Linked DNA regions of Rhinolophus ferrumequinum. The protein of the gene in region 1 interacts with the protein of each later gene in a biochemical or structural test. Links are inferred from orthologs where the notes say so. Each region holds a gene or a part of one and is shown in the gene's direction. Other genes may lie near its edges. The genes, in order: JAG1 and NOTCH2.

Region 1 (9,873 bases):
CACTTTACATGAATTACTGCCAAACTACCCTAAAATAATGTCATTGACTTCTCTAGTTTGCACTTGCCTTTGAAAAAATATCACTTCCATGGATGTAAGCCATCTTTTAGAAATTAAATTTTCTCCTGTATAGTCATTCTAAGTTTTCTGTCTCTTAGTTTTATTTCCAAAAGAAAATCTTTAGAAATCATTTCTGAATGCTTATGGAAATCTGTGTATTGGTAAACCTGTAGCTATGACTACTAAGGATCTAGAAATTTATAGGTAGCACTTGTGCCAATATTTCTCTGCTCAAGCTAATGTTTCTTTAGCATCCTCGAGTGCTCTTGGCATAAAAACAATAATAAAAACAACTACTTACCTTCCAAATGAAAATTTAAACTTAAGCTTTGCAATCACCCACTTTTTATGTTCTTAATAACTTCTAATTTAGAGAAAGCCATCAGTAAAGAAACCATTGGCTTGAGAACAAAAGTGTCAAACACAGACACAGTCTTGTAATTTATTGAGAACCATTAACCCAAACATGAAATACAGGGATTCAAAACCCTGTGGCTTTTGTGTTGCTGGCAGGTGTAATCACCTTTCTTTGACTCTCGCATTTATGTATGTTTTGAAATTTTCTCAGATAACTGAATATATTTAGCTCTCCTTTTTGCAAGTTCCAACAATTACTTTGATTTAAAAATTTTTTTTAAAGATCTGGAGACAGATTTGCGTTTGTTCATGTTTGGAAAGCTGAATGCAAAAGAGATGAAAAGGTGCTCATAGACTGAAGTGTATTGTGGTAGTTTCTATGAGGGCTAAAAACAAAACTACTTTTCCTTTCACTCTAAGTTCTTCTAGCTGAGCTAATCAAATTGAGACAGATTAACAGGAGAAAATCAAATGTTTAATACATGCGCGTGGGGGAATTAACATAAGCATGAAAATTCCAAAGCCAGTGAGGCAACATTGGGTAAACATGACATTTTGGACAATGGAGAAAAGGGGGGAACGGGGTCTTAGATTTCAGAAGTGAGAATGAGGGATTCACAGCTAATTGAGGAAGAGCAGTAAACACGGGGCAGGTAAATTTTTGCTAGGCAACTCAGAAACAATGAGACACAGGGGGTAACCTGGTAAATATGTTTGGAGTCTTCCTGACTAATGCTAGGGTGGAAATGCTTAAACTGATTAAGCCAAAGTTCCCTTCCTGAAGCAGGTATGCTTTTCTTGTTTTTGTTTTAAATCTGAATCTCTTTAAGGAAAAGGGGAAGTAAGTTTGTTGGGCTTTAATTTATTTCAATTCAAAATAATCTGCATTCTAGGGTAGCACAGTCCAGTGACACACACTCTGACCCCTACATTTCCCAATGCTACCTGCTTCTGGAAGTATAGTCTCCAAAGCCTTTTAGGGGATGAAAAGGATTGTGAGTGCTCAGTCACACTTCGAAATTATAGACAACTGTTAGTTGCATTTAGATCAATCAACTATACAAATGGACCGATTTGGTTTTTAAAAAATGCTATCCCAGAATATCTATGGGTCAAGTCATTTAGGCGTCATTCACAGCAGAACAGACAACTCTTAAGTCCATCACCACAAGGAGGAGGGTGACTGAATCATTTACAGTTGTGTTGAGATTGCCAATTTAACAGCAGGATTTTTTTTATTTCCAAAGACTCAACTGTAAAAAAAAGTACATTTTCTAAGTGGAACTTTTTCTTCCTAGCTCCAAAAACCTATGAGAAACCATAAAGAATCTTTAGTTTTAATTCAAGGGGTAAAATGAGGAAATTAGTCCTACGGTTCCTGGATTTTACTCACATCTTGGGTTCTTTTGTGACTGTCTGTGATTGGCTTGTTAAAGCCAATGTGGACACATAATTATTTTTCCTGACAGGTTTCCATGTAATGACCGTGAGACAGAGTGGGGGCAGGACAGACAAAACTATAAATACCTGAGCTCAAAGCAAAACCAAAACAATATTTAAAAGAAGGCTCATACAAAATTACTGTTGATAGTACAAAAAATTTATAGTTCTGGTTTCCAAAGAAAATTAATTCAAATCTCTTGTGTATGCAAAATGAAGCTTTGAAAAAAAAAAAAAAAAGGTTGGATTTACTCAATTTATGCTTGAATATATAAACTTGTGGCCTGGTTATGGTTACTATGAGAGCTACAACTTAATTCTGATTTTTTAATATCTAATTTTGTCTAGTTTGTTGCCCATAGATCATTTTTTACCCCTCTTCTTCTTGAGAATGTCTTGTGATGTGGAAGGAGAGTAATCCCCACAGGTGGCTGTGCTTCCGTGGGGAACTGGCTGGGCAGAGTTATGGGGGCTGGCATTTTCGGCGATGATAATGCGGTGGAACAAGAAAAGAACTCATAGGACAGACACATCAGTATCCTTTGGTTTTGCTGGAAAGGGACAGAAAGATGTCACATCTGCTTTTCCACGGAATAGGGCTTGTGAACTTGCCTGAATGTCTCTGCAATATTCAAACAAAGAAAAGGGAAAATATTAAAGGACATTTACATGCCCCTTTATATTTGACCTTCTTCTCTTATTTATTGGAAAAAGAAAGGAATTAGGAAGAAAGGAATGCAGGAAAAGAACCAAGTTCCTTTTGTTCTTTACTGTAATCTGCACTATCATCCCTTACAAGCATGCCCTCCACTCTGTAGTGCAATATTTTGTGTTGTCCACTATAGTCTTTGCATCCTACACAATATCTGGTCCATCAATAACTATTTTCCTCAACATTTTATAGTGAAAATTTTCAAACATAGAGAAATTTGAAAAAATTTAACTACTGCCATGCCCACCACCTGGATCCAATCATTAGCATTTATTTTGCTTCAGCATCTATCCTAGTCAGCCATCCTCTACGCATCCATCAATCTAATTCCAATGCATTTCCAAGTTGAAAATCTTTTCAGTTCCTTCTGAACACTTCAGCACTCATATAATTAAGTCAATTTGAATATTACAAATTTTTTTTCTTTTGAACATGAGAAATACACCAATCTTAAGTGTACTACTGAATTTTGACACACACATTTGTACACCTGTGTAACCCAAACCCTCAAGATACAGAACATTACCTCTGCCCCACAAGAGGCCTCCAGCCCATCCCAGTTGTCTCCACCCTCCTCTATCTCCAATCACTCTTTATTTTTTTACCATAGATTAGTTTTGCCTGTTCTAGAACTCCATACAAATGGATTCATACAGTATGTAGTCTTTTTTTGCTTAGCTTGTCACTCAGCATATTTTTGAGACCATTCACGTTTGTGCATATAACCTAGTTCTCAATGAATATTGATTTGCTTTTTATCAATGTTGATTAACCAGGGCTTTATGTTGACTAATTGTATTTAAATACAATCATAAGAGCTTGAACATCTTTTATTATGCCTTTGGGGGGGGTCGGGGAGGGGGTTCAGCACTGCTGTTTGTTGATGACTCAATAAAAGTAGGGCAAGTTTTGTGGAAAAAGAAAAATGAGGTATCATCTTTTTAAAGTTAAAGAAGATACTCACAGATAGTTACGGTTTGAGCACATGATACAGGCCAGACAGTAACTGACTGCAGCCTTGCCTCTTCACAGGTGTAGGTGTGATGGCTCAATGCGGCATTTTTCACAGGAATGTTTTTTCTGGAATGTTCACTTACTTTGGCTCTACCCAAAGGCAGGATGTGACCTGGCCAAGGGAGAATCTGCATATTTGAGTTCTTTCTACAGTAGTTCCCCATTCGCCACAGAGGCTGAGAACTGGCTGCTAGGAAGTGAAGGATAAGCTTCCACTTGTGTCGCAATAAATGTGACTGGCTTTTTGGGGGAGTACCAATTAGTTGGAAGAGTCCCAACTGAAAATTTTCAGAGAATCCCATCAAGCCCACAACTGTCTTCTCTAAAAGTGGGTTTCCAAGCTCAGGGAGGGTGAGGGATACTGTGCTATTTGGCATGAGAATTTTGTGTTTGTTAGTGATTTGACACTTGTTAGGCTTGTTAGTTTCGACCCTTGGGAAATCTATGGTCAATTCTTATTAGTCAAGGGGGCTAAACTCACCTGTAGCTTGGAGCCGACCCAGCTTTACGTGCAGCCCAGATGGATAGATACCTGGAGGTACCTGCACTCTCAGGTAGCCCTCTTGGGTTAAGTCAGGTGGCTGGATCTAAACTCCACTAAAGGCCTGACTCCACAGCCTCCTTCCTGAGGGATGTGTGGAGGATAGGCCTGCGGACACAGAATTAAAACAGGTTCAGGCCTGGGGAACTCCAAGGGATTTGCATTTTAAGACCTCACCAGCCTTCATGAATTATGCTTTTATCAGCACCAGCATTTTGCATTTAAACCATTACTTAGCACCCTAATTAGGGGAAATTTGTAGATGGGGGTGAGAAGCGGGCAGAGTGGAGGTAGGGAAGATGGTTAATGGAAACTGGTAAGAAACGGCTATATAGAAATACAGTTGACAACTAGATGCTTTGCATTTAGTTTAATTGGAGAAAGTGAGAACTGGGCACATTAAAACAAAACGCGCAGGTTGCTAGTGCCTATGCCAGCTGCAAACTTGTTCTGCTCTTGGATATGCCCTTTTGAAAATATGGTTTTTTAATTCTCTCACCAATGAGCATTAGATGGGACCCATTACCATTAAGAAGGTACGTTTCTTAGGTACACTTTTTGGACTGTTGAAATTCCAAGATTCCTAAACCATCCTAAATAGTCACGCTTTTCCGTAGTACGTACCCAATACAAGGACCAAGACTGTCCAGCCCACTCTTTAGTGGAAATCAGTCTTTTCCCTAAAGAGGTCCCCTCAAACGCAGCAGCAGGTCCGCTAGGAGAGGGGTTGGGAGAGGATTCGGCCAGCCCACAGGTTTCCTTTGACCTTGGTTATGACCCGGAGTGTCGCTGTTAATTGGGAGGCTCGCCTCAAGGTGGAAAGTAGCATTAGTTTACACTGTCACCCCAGAGAAGCCAAGTTCTGCTGCCGGGCGATGGTGGCGAGATGGTCCCTTTCAGGCTCATCTCTTGCCACCCAGAAAGCTGCTCGGAGGCCGCCTACAGGTGCAATCCCGGCACTGCGCGGCCTGGGCCGCGGAGCTGGGAGGGTGTGAGCCCAAGCCTGCCACTATCTCGGCCTACCCCTCCCAAAGCCCGAGCAGGGCCCCTGCGTGCCTGCCTCCCTCCCCCGGTTTCCCCTCGCCTCTGCTCTTGTGCGGCTTGGAAAGGAAGCCGAGAGCCCTCCAAGGCTCCGCAGCTCGGATTAGGGAGGGGGTTGGGCGCGGCCAAGGCTTCCCCTCGAATCTGCGGCAAGCCTGGCTCCGGGAAAGTTTTTCAAAGTTCCCAGCAGCGCCTGCCCAGGTCGCCTCCGCCGGGCGAGCAGACGGCGGCCAGAGCGCCAGCCTCACCGCCGCCGCCACCTCTGCCGCTGCTCTCGCCAGCAGCGCGCTCTGGGCGGCTAGCTCGCTCGCGGGAAGCGGGCCGGGCTCCCCGCGGGCAGGCCCTCCTGGGGCGAAAGCCGCAGCTGACGCAGGCGGCTCGGAAGGCGGAAGCTGCCCCGGTCCGACCGCTCGGGCAGCGTCGCGGCGCCTACACCTGGGGCCCCGACGGCCGGGCAGAGGCGCCCGGCTGGAGGCGCCCGAGGGGGGAGGTCCGCGCGGGTGGGGCCAGGACGTCCCTGAGCAACAGACAGTTCTAAGTTCTTCGCCGCACCCTCCCCTCCTTCCCGCCTGGCCCCCAGAGCCCGAGGGCGGGGGTCTGCACTGGGCCCCCGGACGTCGAAAAGGTGCTGCGAGTCCCAGAGCCCCCAACCCCTTCCAAGTTCCTCCCAGTACTCCCCCTACCCATCAACCCGGAGGGAAGGGGCGTGTCCCTCCAGGACACGCCCCTCATGAATATTAACAAGCGCGCATGCGCCTGCCGGGCGCGCTGGGTAAAGGTGGCTAGTCCCGGCCTCGGCTCCCAGACGGGCTCTCCGAGTCCCTCTCCGAGAGCCGGGCGGGCACGCGTCATTGTGTTACCTGCGGCCGGCCAGCGAGCTGGGCTAGGGTTTTTTTTTTTTCTCCCCTCCCTCCCTCCTTTCTGTGCAGCTGATCTGAAAGGGAATAAAAGGCTGCGCATAATCATAATAATAAAAGAAGGGGAACGCGAGAGAAGGAAAGAAAGCCGGGAGGTGGAAGAGGAGGGGGAGCGCCTCAAAGAAGCGATCAGAATAATAAAAGGAGGCCGGGCTCTTTGCCTTCTGGAACGGGCCGCTCGTGAAAAGGCTTTTGAAAAGTGGTGTTGTTTTCCAGTCGTGCATGCTCCAATCGGCGGAGTATATTAGAGCCGGGACGCGGCGGCCGCAGGGGCAGCGGCGACGGCAGCACCGGCGGGAACACCAGCGCGAACAGCAGCGGCGGCAGCGGCGTCCCGAGAGCCCGCGGCGCGCAGAGCAGCGATGCGGTCCCCACGGACGCGCGGCCGGCCCGGGCGCCCCCTGAGCCTCCTGCTCGCTCTGCTCTGTGCCCTGCGAGCTAAGGTAGGAGCCCGTTGGGCCTCCCTCCCGGCCCGCCCTCTCTTTTCCTTAGCGGCGCCCTGGACGCCTGCGGTTGAGCGCCGCGAGCGGGGTCAGGAGCCCTCGGTCGCCTGGCTCCCCGACCGTGCTCCTGCTCCCGCGAGGCTGCACCTGAGCTGGGGGAGCCCCCGGCCTCCTAAATGTATCGTCCAGCCCGGGCACGGGGCGCGTTCTCTCCGCTCTTAGTCCTCCGGGGCAGTCGTCGGATTTTTCTTGTACTCGTGCGTTCTCTGCTTGGGAATCGCGTTGAGTCCTGCTCCCAGTTTTGCAAAATTATTTTCACTTGGTACCGAGGGCTTGTCGGGGCGGGCGGGGAGGGGGTCTCCTCGAAGGAAGCTTTCCCCCGTGCTGACCTCCCTCCCTTGCCGGCAGGTATGCGGAGCCTCCGGCCAGTTCGAGTTAGAGATCCTGTCCATGCAGAATGTGAATGGGGAGCTGCAGAACGGGAACTGCTGCGGTGGCGCCCGAAATCCGGGGGACCGCAAGTGCGCCCGCGACGAGTGTGACACATACTTCAAAGTGTGCCTCAAGGAGTACCAGTCCCGCGTCACGGCCGGGGGGCCGTGCAGCTTCGGCTCCGGGTCCACTCCTGTCATCGGGGGCAACACCTTCAATCTCAAGGCCAGTCGCGGCAATGAACGCAACCGTATCGTTCTGCCTTTCAGTTTCGCCTGGCCGGTGAGTGACGGACGCTGGGTGGGAGGCCGGAGCAAGGTTCGCACCCGCGCCTGCGGAGCGCTGCTTTCTGTTGGGAGAGGGATATAAGGGCCTTGGCTTGAAACGCGGCGCTAACTCGGGAAGATTTTTAAGGTGGGGAGTTACGCAGCAACATTCGGCAGGCCCCATCCCCGCCGCTTTTTGCGAAGCGCACAAAAGTGGGGACTCCAGAGATTGTGGGGCAAAGCTCCACGGAAAGCAGTTTCAACTTGCAACTTGGAGGCCCCAGAATAACGCTCCCCCCACACGAGCCAGGAGTCATTATAGATGATCTTTGCTTAATCGATTAAACCTGATGCGCCGTTGAAGGCGACTTGGCTCAATTCTGGCCTTCGAACGCGGTCCAAATTGGCACCCTCCCCTTTCCCGTGAACGGCCCGGAGGGCGGGTGTGTCCTTCCTGGAGGGTGTGGAGGGAACCCGTTTCCCGCTGCTCCCCAGGAGATTTTGGTGCGTGCGGGGGCGCGCTTCGGGCTAGGCGCAAGGGCGCGGGGGCGGCCCCCGGAGGTGGGGGTGGTTCTTCGGGCCTTCTCCGAGCTGCTGCCCGGGGAGCCTCCGCCCCCTGCCGGCCCCTTCCTGCCCTCGCCCCCGCGCGGTGTATCCTTGTGGCCTTATTTCCAGCGGTTCCCGGGCTCTGGAACAGCTGTGTTTGCAAACTTCCCGGGGAAGGGCGGGGGTGCGCCCTAGTCCGGCGGGCGCGCGGCCCCCTCAAGCTTTCGGGGGCGTGCCAGGGCCTGGAAGGGGCGGCCCGCTGGAGGCAGTCCCTGCGGGTGCCAGTACGTGGACCCGCGCCGGATTGCTGCTCAAGGCCCGGGCCCGCACTGGCTGAACGTGCAGCAAGGCCCTTGCGACATCCCGAAATGGTTGGAAGGAAGATGGGGCGCGATTGCAGAAGGGGAGGAAAGGGAAAAATGTTGGTGCCCTCTGCCCTGCTCCTCCTGTCCAGGAGGCGTGACTCATTGATAGGATTGGGGCTGGGCTCAGCCTGTGCTGAGAGGGTGGGTGGTGAGGGGAGGGGGAGCTCAGTGCCGCGGGGAATACTCTCTGCCACGTGCTCTGATGGGGTGCACTAGGCTGCCTCCTATCCGCAGCCTGGGGCTGTGATTCCCAACTCTGAGAACAGGGGAGAGTGTCTGTCTTGTGTGTGAAGCTTGGGGTGGCCCTCAAGGCCCACGTTTACAGAAACTAGCGTTGTAAAGTGCTCTCTGCTGTGGAGGAGATAAGACAGTTATCAGAAACATGCCATTAAAAGGGGCTTATAAAAACTTGTGGTATGGGGAGTTCTCTGACAATAGGGGCTGCTGCTTCTGTTGTGGGATTTCATTTTTACAGAGCGTGTTTATCTTGTCTGTTAATCCCCTATTAGGGAAAACTTGAAGCTAAAGAGGTGCGCCACATTTTTAATCTGACTGTGAATACTGTTTGCCCTTGAATGTAACCTGTTTGGAGTTCAGGGGGAAGGGTTCTGCACGTGGTTCCACCCGCTGAAGGATCAGTCTGAGCCCCCTCACTTTCCTCAAGACCATAAAAGGAGTCCTAGTAGTGATATGGAAAAGCTGCAGGCCTGGCTGAGGTTCATTTTGGAGAAGAGGGTCAGAGGGAGGCATGGATGAAAACAGAGTCTTGCTCGCTCCCCAGGCTGGCTGGGGAAAGTGACCTAGAAGGTGTGTCTTTCCCCTTTTGACACTTGGCAGAGAGGCCTGGATGGGGAAGGAGTGGAGTGGAAGCAGCGTGTGAGGGCAGAGAGATGATTGATTTCCTGATGCTGGTCTGTGGTTTCAGGCCCACGGGTCACCAACCATGAAATAGACTTTCTAGAATGGGGGAGACTGCTGGGGCTACACTGAGAGTGTGGTTCTTTTGAAGCTGGGCCAAATGCATGTATCACTCATAAACAAGTCTCCACCCTGCTACACCAAAAAGGCCTGCTGTGAAATACAAGCTTTACTTCCAAAGAGAAACCGGAGTTTAGGTGTATTGTTTTAGTTTATTTTCCTGAGTGCGGTTGGAGAAACACCAGTCTGTACCTTTTCAAGAATGATTCCAGGGTGAGTGTTAACTGACGTGAAAGCACTCAGGTAGACAAATAAGTATGGAAGTAAATAAGCACAGCTTCACTCAGTTTGGCAACTAAATATTAATAAGCGTGTCTATTTAAAACTGATTTCCTTGAGTAGTTAATAACTGAACTTGGTACAGAATTCAAGATTCACAGGATATATGGTTTAGGCAGCCACAATTTCTGTCAGCAGGGTCCTCCCAAATTTGCTGTGGTTCAGAGAGCATGGTAGAAGTTCAGTTGAGAAAGTTGTATAATTCATGTCTTGTTTGGAATTACAACCCCAGTCAAACAACTAACTGTTCATGTTCTGGAGAGGAAGAGGAGGAAATGATTTGGTTAGACATGAAATATAATCCCCCACCCAGTGTCCATGTGGGCAGCTCTGTAGAGGTGGGGCTGCCCACTGGATAGTACCAGATTATGTCCCACTTGGTGTCCACTGCCCCAGCTCCAGTCCTGGGGTAGTTTCCATTGGTGGCTCCTAATCACCATACCAGTGCTGCTCCCAAGGGGCTTGACTTGAAGCAGCTAGCC
Region 2 (9,007 bases), on another chromosome or scaffold:
TCATGTGGAAAGGTGCTGGCTCAGGTAGTAAATGGCCATCAACTGTGATTGGATGGCCATCAGCTGTGGCTAGTTGGCCGTCAGCTGTAACCAGTGAGCCATTGGCCACTAATATAACTGCTGTGGCTATACTAGCAGGAAAAGGGGGGCTAGCAAGAAGACGGTGGCTGAGCTAGCAAGCGCGGATTGCAGCTAGCAAGTGGGGTTGGTTGTCAGAGCGAAGTGGACGGTGGGTTGCAGATCGTGTGGCTCCTGTTTCCTGTGTCTCCAGCCCAGCCGCCAGCGAGACTATAGTGGTATGACTCCCCCATCTATGGCTCCGTGGGTGTTCTTTTTGGCCTCACCATGTCCTGCGTTCTTACGTGGGGAGCGGGACCAGAGACCCCGCAGGCCACCTCGGTCCATTCAGATCTTGCAGGCTGGGGACAGGACAAAATGAAAGTGGCCTTAGAATTAACCACAGTGCTGTCCACTGTCCCATGGCTCTGTGCGTTGTCTCTGTTGTAGTTATATTGTTTATCTGTTGACCCCCACCCTCCACTGTGCACTGTGATCTCCTGAGAATAGGAGCTGCAGCTGGTTCATGTCTGTATTGCCACAGTCAAGGGTGTGCTTTGCAGAGGGTAGACTCCCTCACAATTCCATTAAATCAAAGAATGCATTTCTAATGACAGTGGGTCAGCTTGTTCTGTACCAATATGGCAGTGATAAGAAGCTGGTGGACCTTTGCCCAGAGGTTCCTACACTAAAAATTGTCTTGGACGAGCGTCACTCTGTTGCAGAAAGAAACCGTGGACTGAGACTGAATCAGAAGTCAGACGTAGGGGGGTTTGTCTCAGCTCTGTCACTAACTACTTATTCAACCTCAGGCAAGACACCTAAACTCTCAGTTTCCTCATCTGGGAAATGGGGATAATAATGACTGGCTTGGCTATTTCCCACGATCGCTTTGAGAATCAAATGAGATAATAACTTAAAAGTGTTTTTTAGAAAGCCTAAAGCACTGCACAAATGGAAGGCATTGTTTTGCAAAGAAACCTTTCTTTTCATTCCTGTGTCCCTGGACACTTCATCACACACCGCTGGGTTCCTGGGTTATGTGCTGAGACGTGTGGAGTAGCTCAACCTAGGCTTGATGTGGACCCCAGAATCTGTTCTGCAACATCTATAGTGTTTACCTGATGCATCCTGGAATGCTCCAGAACCCCTGGACATTCTGTCACGCTCTCCAATTCACACGGCTATACACGCCCCTCATTCCACGTTTATTTAAAACTCACATTGTTGTGCACGTCTGTGCACGAACGACCGTGCTAGGAACTGAGGCAAAATAGACAAATAACACAGTCTCTCTGCCCTTGAGGGGTTTTACAGCCTCCTGGGTCTGAGAGAACAGACATGAGAACAAAGTAAGTGCCAATTCTGCATTTGTCTTGGGGAGACAACTTTACATGTGAATTTTAATTAATAAAGACATACATGCATATTTTCAGTTTCAACTACAACGAAAACTAGGGGTGGCCCTTATTCATGTTTTCTATTATTAATAGTCTGTAGATTTTAATGTGAGCTTGGAGATTGAGAAAAAAAAATTTTTTTCCAGATCAGTGAAGCTATGGAACTTGAAGAGCAATCACTGTGATTAGTTATAGGATCACCTGGTAGTTTTCCTGCCAATTTCTCCTATAAAGTAGAACTTGCTTTGACTCAAAGCAGTGTCTATGGGGAAAACCATTCCGCACTCCAGTTGAGCCGTTAAAACTGCAGAGCACGTTTGGGCCTGAAATCTCCAGGCACATCCTGACATTTCATGGCCTCAGCTGCTACTCCTGTTTTGAGACAGCACCACAAGACCCCCTGATTTCTGCTAGGGATCGGGGAACCAGTCACCTAAACGCACATAGTGGAATTTAGGCTTAGCTTGCGGGAGAGCTCAGTAGTAGGAAGCCTATTTCAACGCGGTTCCATCCTTTAAATCAGTCAGGCTCCTCCAGCTCTCGCAAAAGCAGTCAACAGCCACTGCTGCTTCTGGAGAACGCAGTTTCCCTCTTCCAGCTCCATCGATTTCTTATCTTGCCTGCTTATTTAATCTACCAAACCTCCTTTTCCTTCTCCTGTGTTTTCTATATCCGGGAGTAGCTCACCAAGCCTCAGGATATGGAAGTCATTGCTGATGGCCCATCCACCTTTCCTCTCTCATCTAAGTGGGTACTAACTTTAGGAGCCAAAGCCCGGCTTTTCTGCATTCCCACGGCCCCTGCCTAAGTCCTTGCCTTCCCACTTTAGGGAACAGGCTCTGGTCTCTATTGTTCACCAGCCTCCGTACTTGTTGCAAAGAAAGCTCTCTTTTAATTCCTGCTTCGGCAAACACTTCATCACACATCCCTGGGTTATGTGCTGAGATGCGTGGTGTAGCTCAACCTAAGCTTGATATGGACCCCAGAATCTGCCTGGAAGAGTTTAGGCCACTGAACAGGAGAAGTCTCCTCTTCCTCTTTACCTGATTAATCGTTTGGTCCTCTACTTCTTAGACCAGCTGTTGAGATCTTCCCGGAAGCCTTCCCTGATTGCCCCTGGGCGGAGACAGGTCACAGTCCCTCAGCTGTCACACTGGGTCTTAATTGTTGATTACTCATCTTTCTGGCTTTATCCCTGGACTGCTCATACCAGAACTGGCCCACAGTAAATACTCATCCAAATGCCAGTTGACTTACTGGTTCTCAACTCTCAGTCTTTGTCAATTCCAGTTTCTTCCCTTGATTTTCAGCTCCCCCTTTTTTTGTTTTCTTTTTTACCAATTTATATCCATAGCTTCCTTCAAAACATATTTTTAAAAACATCTCCTCCATCATACCCTTCTCCTACTTCCCTTCATAACATTTTACTCTTTACTCTCCTTGTCCTTATGGGGAATGTATGCAATAAGTCTAACGTTATAACAAATCCCACACAAGTTATTACACATGTAACATAATGATCGCTTTCTTTCAAAGAGTCACCTTGAGAAATTCCGCACCTATTGTCATAGTGATGTCACAGCCAGTCGTTTCCAGACCTGCTCTTTGGGGATGATGACATTTACATCCTTCTGAATATATCTCAATAGGGACAAATTTAATCTTTGTAGGTGGTTTTTAAAATTTGTATACAGCCAAGTCACTACGAACTATATTTAGTGAGGAAAGAGAACGATCAAGCTGGTAACTATCAGTCAGCAGCTAAACCGTCCTGTTATTATCTTTCTCTGAACATATTTGCACAAGGGAAATTCCAAAACAATTGGACTGTGTTGTTTTTGCAAAGAGTTTCTAGCATCCCAAGGTGACTAGTTTCACTCATAACACTTGCTTATCTATTATAAAGTGCTTATGAAAATCCGGTTGGGAACTTCAGAGGCCGCTGATCATACTGCTTTGTGCTTGTTCAGTGCCATTTTACCTTCTAGTTCAACATCTATTATGGGCTGGGCTCTGGGAACGAATGAGGCCGTGGGCCTTACCCGTCGGGACCTCCTGATCTAGAGGAAAAGATAGAAATACAGACAGTCCTGTGTGAAAAATAGAGATGAGTGTCAGATAAAGAAGCAGGACAGTGGAGGGACTGTCTGTCCGAGGTAGGAATTGGTTACAAGGTCGGCAAAGCCTTCTCAGGGCTGAAGGATAAATGATTAGAAGTTCAAGAGGAGGAGGGGAGGGGACTACAAGTCATTCCGCGTCAAGGGAACAGAAGGTACAGAGACTGAAGGAAGGAGATATGTTTGGGGGGGAATCTCAACTCATGCAATACTGTTATTGTGTAAAGTTCACAATGGGGCAGAGGGGACAAGCGAGGGGGCCCAGGGAAGGGAAGGCCTTGTATTGACCATTTTTAGAAGTTTGGACTTTGTCCTCTAGGAGCCCGGGAGAGGCTCTGTGGGTAGGATTTCCCTTCCCGACAGGATCGTAAACCTCCACATCCAATTAGTCACATTGGGTTGCCCCACCCGCGTCTTTTCCTTTTTCTTTTTCTTCGAGATTGTCCCCAGTCCATCCCTCCCTTTCTATTTTGACATCTACCTCAGTAGTGCAGGCCTTCATCAGCCATGCCCGCCTGGACTGTTTCACAAACTCCTCACTAGCCCTCGGACTCCCGTTCGTTCACCTTTTGCGCCTGACAATTTTGCGCAGGATTATCAGAGCAACCTTCCTTTCCATCAAGTCTCACTCCTGTGCGAAGACCTTCAATGGTTTTTCTATGACCTGAGAGATAACTATCCCCCCTTCCTACCCACCCCTCCCTCTTTTTCAGCTTGTCGTTCAGGGTCCTGGTCCCGACCCCCTTTCCCTCCTTGACTCCTGTCACTGCGAATAGTGCCAGAACTCATCTACTTCTTCCCTTATCTGTACCCTTTTATGGGGGCTCTCCCAGAGGAGAATGTTACGGCCACACCAACTTTTTCTTGGATTTATTTCAACTCTTTTCTTACAAAAACCAAGCCCACTTGTACGCATGCCTGATTCCATCCCTCATTCTCCTGCGCTGGAAGTAACCGCTATGCTGGTTATATTCTTTTACTATATACTGTGTGGTGTGCATTCATAAATAATCTATGGCATTGTTTTGAAATATAAATAGATATACATGGTATACTTTATATCTCCTTGTGCAATTGGTTTTTTCACTACCATTTTATTTTTGAAATGTATTTCTATTGGCGTATATGAACATGCTCTTTCAATTGCTGTGTATTTTATTTTCTAAATATACGATACATTATCCATCCTTTCCTCTATGGGTGGGCATTGAGGCTGTTCCCCATGTTTGGTATTGCCAACAATGTTACAATGAATATCCGTAGCTGCTCTCCTCGTCCTTACAAATTTTCCTAACCTTTCAAAATCCTGCTCTCATCCCAGTTCTTCCATGAAAGCCTACCCACTGCAGCAACGTCTAAATCCTCAAAAGTAGCTTGAGCATCATGAGACTTTAGTACCATTCCTACGGTGCCCAGCAAAGTAAGGCGCTTAAGAAACATTTGCTAAACGAGTGAATGAATGCGTGAAGAATGAATGAATGAATGAATGAATGAATGAATGAGGCAGCACAACCCAGCTGATGGCTCTGTTCATTTTAAATGGGCTTTGGCGCCCTGGCCCCCATTTCCTTCTGTGACAGCACAGGCCGTCCGCCGCATTCCTCCGGCCACCCCGGGGTGTGTGGATGTGTGTGTGTGTGTGACACGGGCGATCCCTGGCTCCCTGGATGAGGGCCGGCTCTCCGGGCAAGTTCACGATCTCAGTGCCCCTAGCGTCTGAAGTTCAGCGTCCTAACACCCACCCCTGTTGGCAGAGGCCGGGCCCAGCGAGGCGCTCCAGCGCTGAAGGCGTTAAGGCGCGTCGGGACTCGACGCGGGCCGGGCCGGCGGCCGAGGCTGAGGACTCGTAGTAGATCCCTCCGCGCGCGGCTCGGCCGGCGCTTCTTCCTGCGGGAAACCCCTGGGCGCCGCAGGCGGCCGCCGGCCTGGGCGGCAGGGGGCGGGGTTTGCGGTGGGAGGAGGCGGCCGAGGCGGAAGGACACACGAGACTGCACACTCGAGAAAGTTAGAGCCGAACTTCGGGCGGCGGCTGAGGCGGCGTCCCGGGCACGGCTGACTCGGGGTGCGGGGAGTGGAGGCGTCTAGCCTGAGCTTCGGGGCCAGCGCGAGGCCGGGCGCCACCGGGGCGGGAGGAGGAGCGCAGAAAGTGGGGGCTCCTCTGTTGGGACCCCCTCTCCATGTGGATCTGCCCAGGCGGCGGCGGCGGCGGAGGAGGCGACCGAGAAGATGCCCGCCCTGCACCCCGCGCGGCTGTGGGCGCTGCTGGCGCTCTGGCTGTGCCGCGCGGCCCCTGCGCGTGGTGAGTATCGGGCCCGGGGGTGCTGTCCCCGCGCCCTGGTCGCGCACCGCCGCCCCCGCCCGGCCATCTGGGGCGCCCGGTCCCCCCCTTTGGTCCCCTCCGTGCGAGAAGGCCGGGCTCTGCCGCCGGCGCGGATTGAGGCCACTGGGTTCCAGAAAGTTGGGGCATCGTGGGGGCCCCCTGAGCGCGCCCCTGCCCCCGCGCTCCCCGCCGCCGCCTGTTCCCTGCGGCCGGTGGCCCCACACACGCCTCCTTGGCCGGAGGGAGGCCGGGCAGCGAGGCTCAGAAACTCCCCTTCGTGGGCGCTGGAGTTCTAGGAGTTGGGCAGTCTTGCCCTTTTGGTTCCGCGTTTCCTGGGGTTGAAGGGGAACCGAGGGCGGGCTGCCTGCGACAAACCCCCGCTGGCCGCCGACCGCAAAGGGGCTGAGCGGAGGAATGCCAGGTTCTGGCGTGGGGGGGTCGGCGAGGGCAGGGCCTCCCAGCCCAACGGCTTGCACCTTCACGGCCACCAGTAGCTGTGCCAAAGGGGAGGCACGCAGTCCGGGTGGGTGGGGTCGGTTTGGATGGGGCCAGGGTTTCGCGGGGCGCCCGAGTCTGACACTCCGAATCCACGGGCGGGACGAATCCGATGTGTTGCACGGGGCCTTTGAAAGGTGGAGGCAGGAACAGTAGGAGAACTGGTGGGGCTGCACGCTGGGCCACAGGATTTAAAAATCTCAACTGCTGTTATTCTTTCCGAGGCGCGCAGCTCAGGCGCTATTGCGGTCTGTGTCCAGCCCCAGGAATGTGGTGTGACGATCACCAACTCCTCTAACCTGGCAGCCGGATTTGCTGCTCTTTTGGCAGGTTGGGGGTGGGGCATGGGTGGGTGAGGAACAGTGGAGAGGGTCATTCAAAGTGCTGCCTTCGCAGGCCTCTTTCGGGTTGGATATGTGCGACAATTTCTGAACGCGGTTGGACCAAGGAAAGGAAATGCAGTCATTCCTTACCCATCCCACCCACAATTTCAGATTCCAAGTTTCCTCCGACCGGGTAGTGGAAGGCGCTTGGGTTTTGGAGCTTCATAAATAATCCTGGGTTCAAATCCAGCTCCGCTCTATGAACGCCCCCAATAAAATGGGAATGAAATTACCCAGCTAATAGGATTCCTCAAGAGAATGGTGTATTAAACCCATGGCAGTCAAAAGGTGTTCCGAAAGGGCAGGGCTGGGTTTTGGTTTTCTCTGAATCTCTGCTTCCAGTGGGATGATAGCTTGTGTCTGTTTGTGAAGCCGCAAGCGGCCCCTGCTTTTCCTAGCCTAATATGAAGGAGTATTTTACCTTGACCAAAAAACTGGTACATGAGCTATGTCTCTTTACAAAGAAAAGGTTAAGAAGATGATGAGCTTCAGAAAAATTTGCTCTTTGTTCACTTGCAACAGGCGGGGGACCTGTCCATCATCGATGTTGGAAAGAGAACAAGGTTATTTATCACCGTGCTGGGCTGTTCAGCACCAACGACTGTGTTTCCCTGAAAATAAAACCTAGCCGGTTAATCAGCTCTAATGCGTCTTTTGGAGCAACAATTAATATAAGACCCGGTCTTATTTTACTATAAGACCCGGTCTTATCTAACATAATATAAGACTGGGTCTTATATTAATTTTTGCTCCAAAAGACACATTAGAGCTGATTGTCCGGCTAGGTCTTATTTTCCAGGAAACACAGTAGGTCCTTGGGAAGTTCATATTCCATACAACTCTAGGTCCCTAAGAATTTAAGAAGTGGGCCAGGGGCTGATGTGATGATGATCGAAACTGTTGTTTCAGAAGCATTTAACAAAGCACGTAAATGGTGTTTTTGCCTTTCCTTTTTCTTTGAGTGGAAAGCTTTAGTATAAGTCTAGATTTAGGATAGAGAGGAGTATAAACAACGGGTTAGTTTGAGAGTTACAATCCTTGGTCTACCACTAACTTGTTTTAGTAAAGAACTCAACCTTCATGATTTGTAGGCTCCTCACCTATGGAATAGAAATACAGAAGCAACCTATTTCAGACAGTTGGAGGGAATAAGAAATATGATTGCAGAGATTTGCAAAATTAAGTGTGAAATGATAAGACGGATGTCAGCCTTCTCTCATTCTAGAACCTCAGTATATAGAAAGACATCCTTTTTTATACTTCTGCACTGATGAGGTATTGCTATGACTAACTTTTAGGTGGACAAATTGAGTGTTAGTCAATTAGTTCAAAGGACAAGATTTAAATATTTTGATTTTTAGGCAGGTGTTCTTCTGGTGCTAAACTGCAATAGAAGAGATTAGAAACTTGTTTCTTAGTACAAATCTTAAACCTTTTTCAGAGTCTGGCAGTGAAGCCTTCTTCAGTCTTCTTAATCTTCTACTATCATTTGTGTTTTGCCAAGGTACCAATTGTAACACACCCTTCCCAACTTTTGAGTGTTCCTGCGTTTGGCTTGTGGCCAATTGTTAATTTAAACATCACTGAGTTCCTAAAGCAAAGAGCTGTCAACCCATCTGTCTGATTGTCTAAACAGCTATCCAAGACCACCCTTTTCTCCTTGTTTTCTTTTGCTGTGCAATGTGAAGTGACTCCCTGGTTTTACAGCCTGCTAGATAATTTCTCAGCCACATTCTTCCCTTGCTTAAAAAAAAAAAAAAAATCACAAAGAGTAACTGTTGTTGTGTGTGCGTTTTTTTTTTTTCCAGATGGAGATGAAATTCATCCCAAAACTATTTTCCTTTATCTTTCTTGTTCTTTCTATAGTATTATTCGTTTTGGGGGTGGGGAGAGAAGGATAGGAAAGAGAGGGATTATTTCTAGTCTCTCTTTTCTGTTTCCTGATGGTTTGATTTTTAAAAATATCTACTCACATCTCCTTGGCATCTGTCAGCCCCATTCCCTCTCTACTGCCTCTTCTGTAGGATTCTTGTGGCATGGAGGAGTAACTTCTGGTTCACCTGAACTGTAGTTGCTGACTTCGGGACCTTTAGAAAAATGTTTAAATTCAGTGGGATATGCTTGGGTGCTTCAGAGCAGCATTACAATACATTTTAAAAATATCATACCCACAGAAATTCTATTTTGCCCACAAAATTTGCATTGATCTAGTTCCCACTCTCTGATACCATTCAG

Evidence for each region.
Region 2: the proteins of JAG1 (region 1) and NOTCH2 form a complex in vitro, tested with the Homo sapiens proteins (2 studies listed by BioGRID). The link is inferred for Rhinolophus ferrumequinum from reciprocal best matches to the Homo sapiens genes JAG1 and NOTCH2.

Annotation. Positions count from the first base shown.
Region 1 is NC_046306.1:31,353,082-31,362,954, reverse strand, and holds the start of JAG1 (protein jagged-1), read left to right. Parts: upstream 1-5,968; 5' UTR 5,969-6,444; coding exon 6,445-6,525; intron 6,526-6,933; coding exon 6,934-7,239; intron 7,240-9,873. UniProt on the Homo sapiens protein: Ligand for multiple Notch receptors and involved in the mediation of Notch signaling. May be involved in cell-fate decisions during hematopoiesis. Seems to be involved in early and late stages of mammalian cardiovascular development.
Region 2 is NC_046305.1:49,115,286-49,124,292, reverse strand, and holds the start of NOTCH2 (neurogenic locus notch homolog protein 2), read left to right. Parts: upstream 1-5,230; 5' UTR 5,231-5,800; coding exon 5,801-5,873; intron 5,874-9,007. UniProt on the Homo sapiens protein: Functions as a receptor for membrane-bound ligands Jagged-1 (JAG1), Jagged-2 (JAG2) and Delta-1 (DLL1) to regulate cell-fate determination.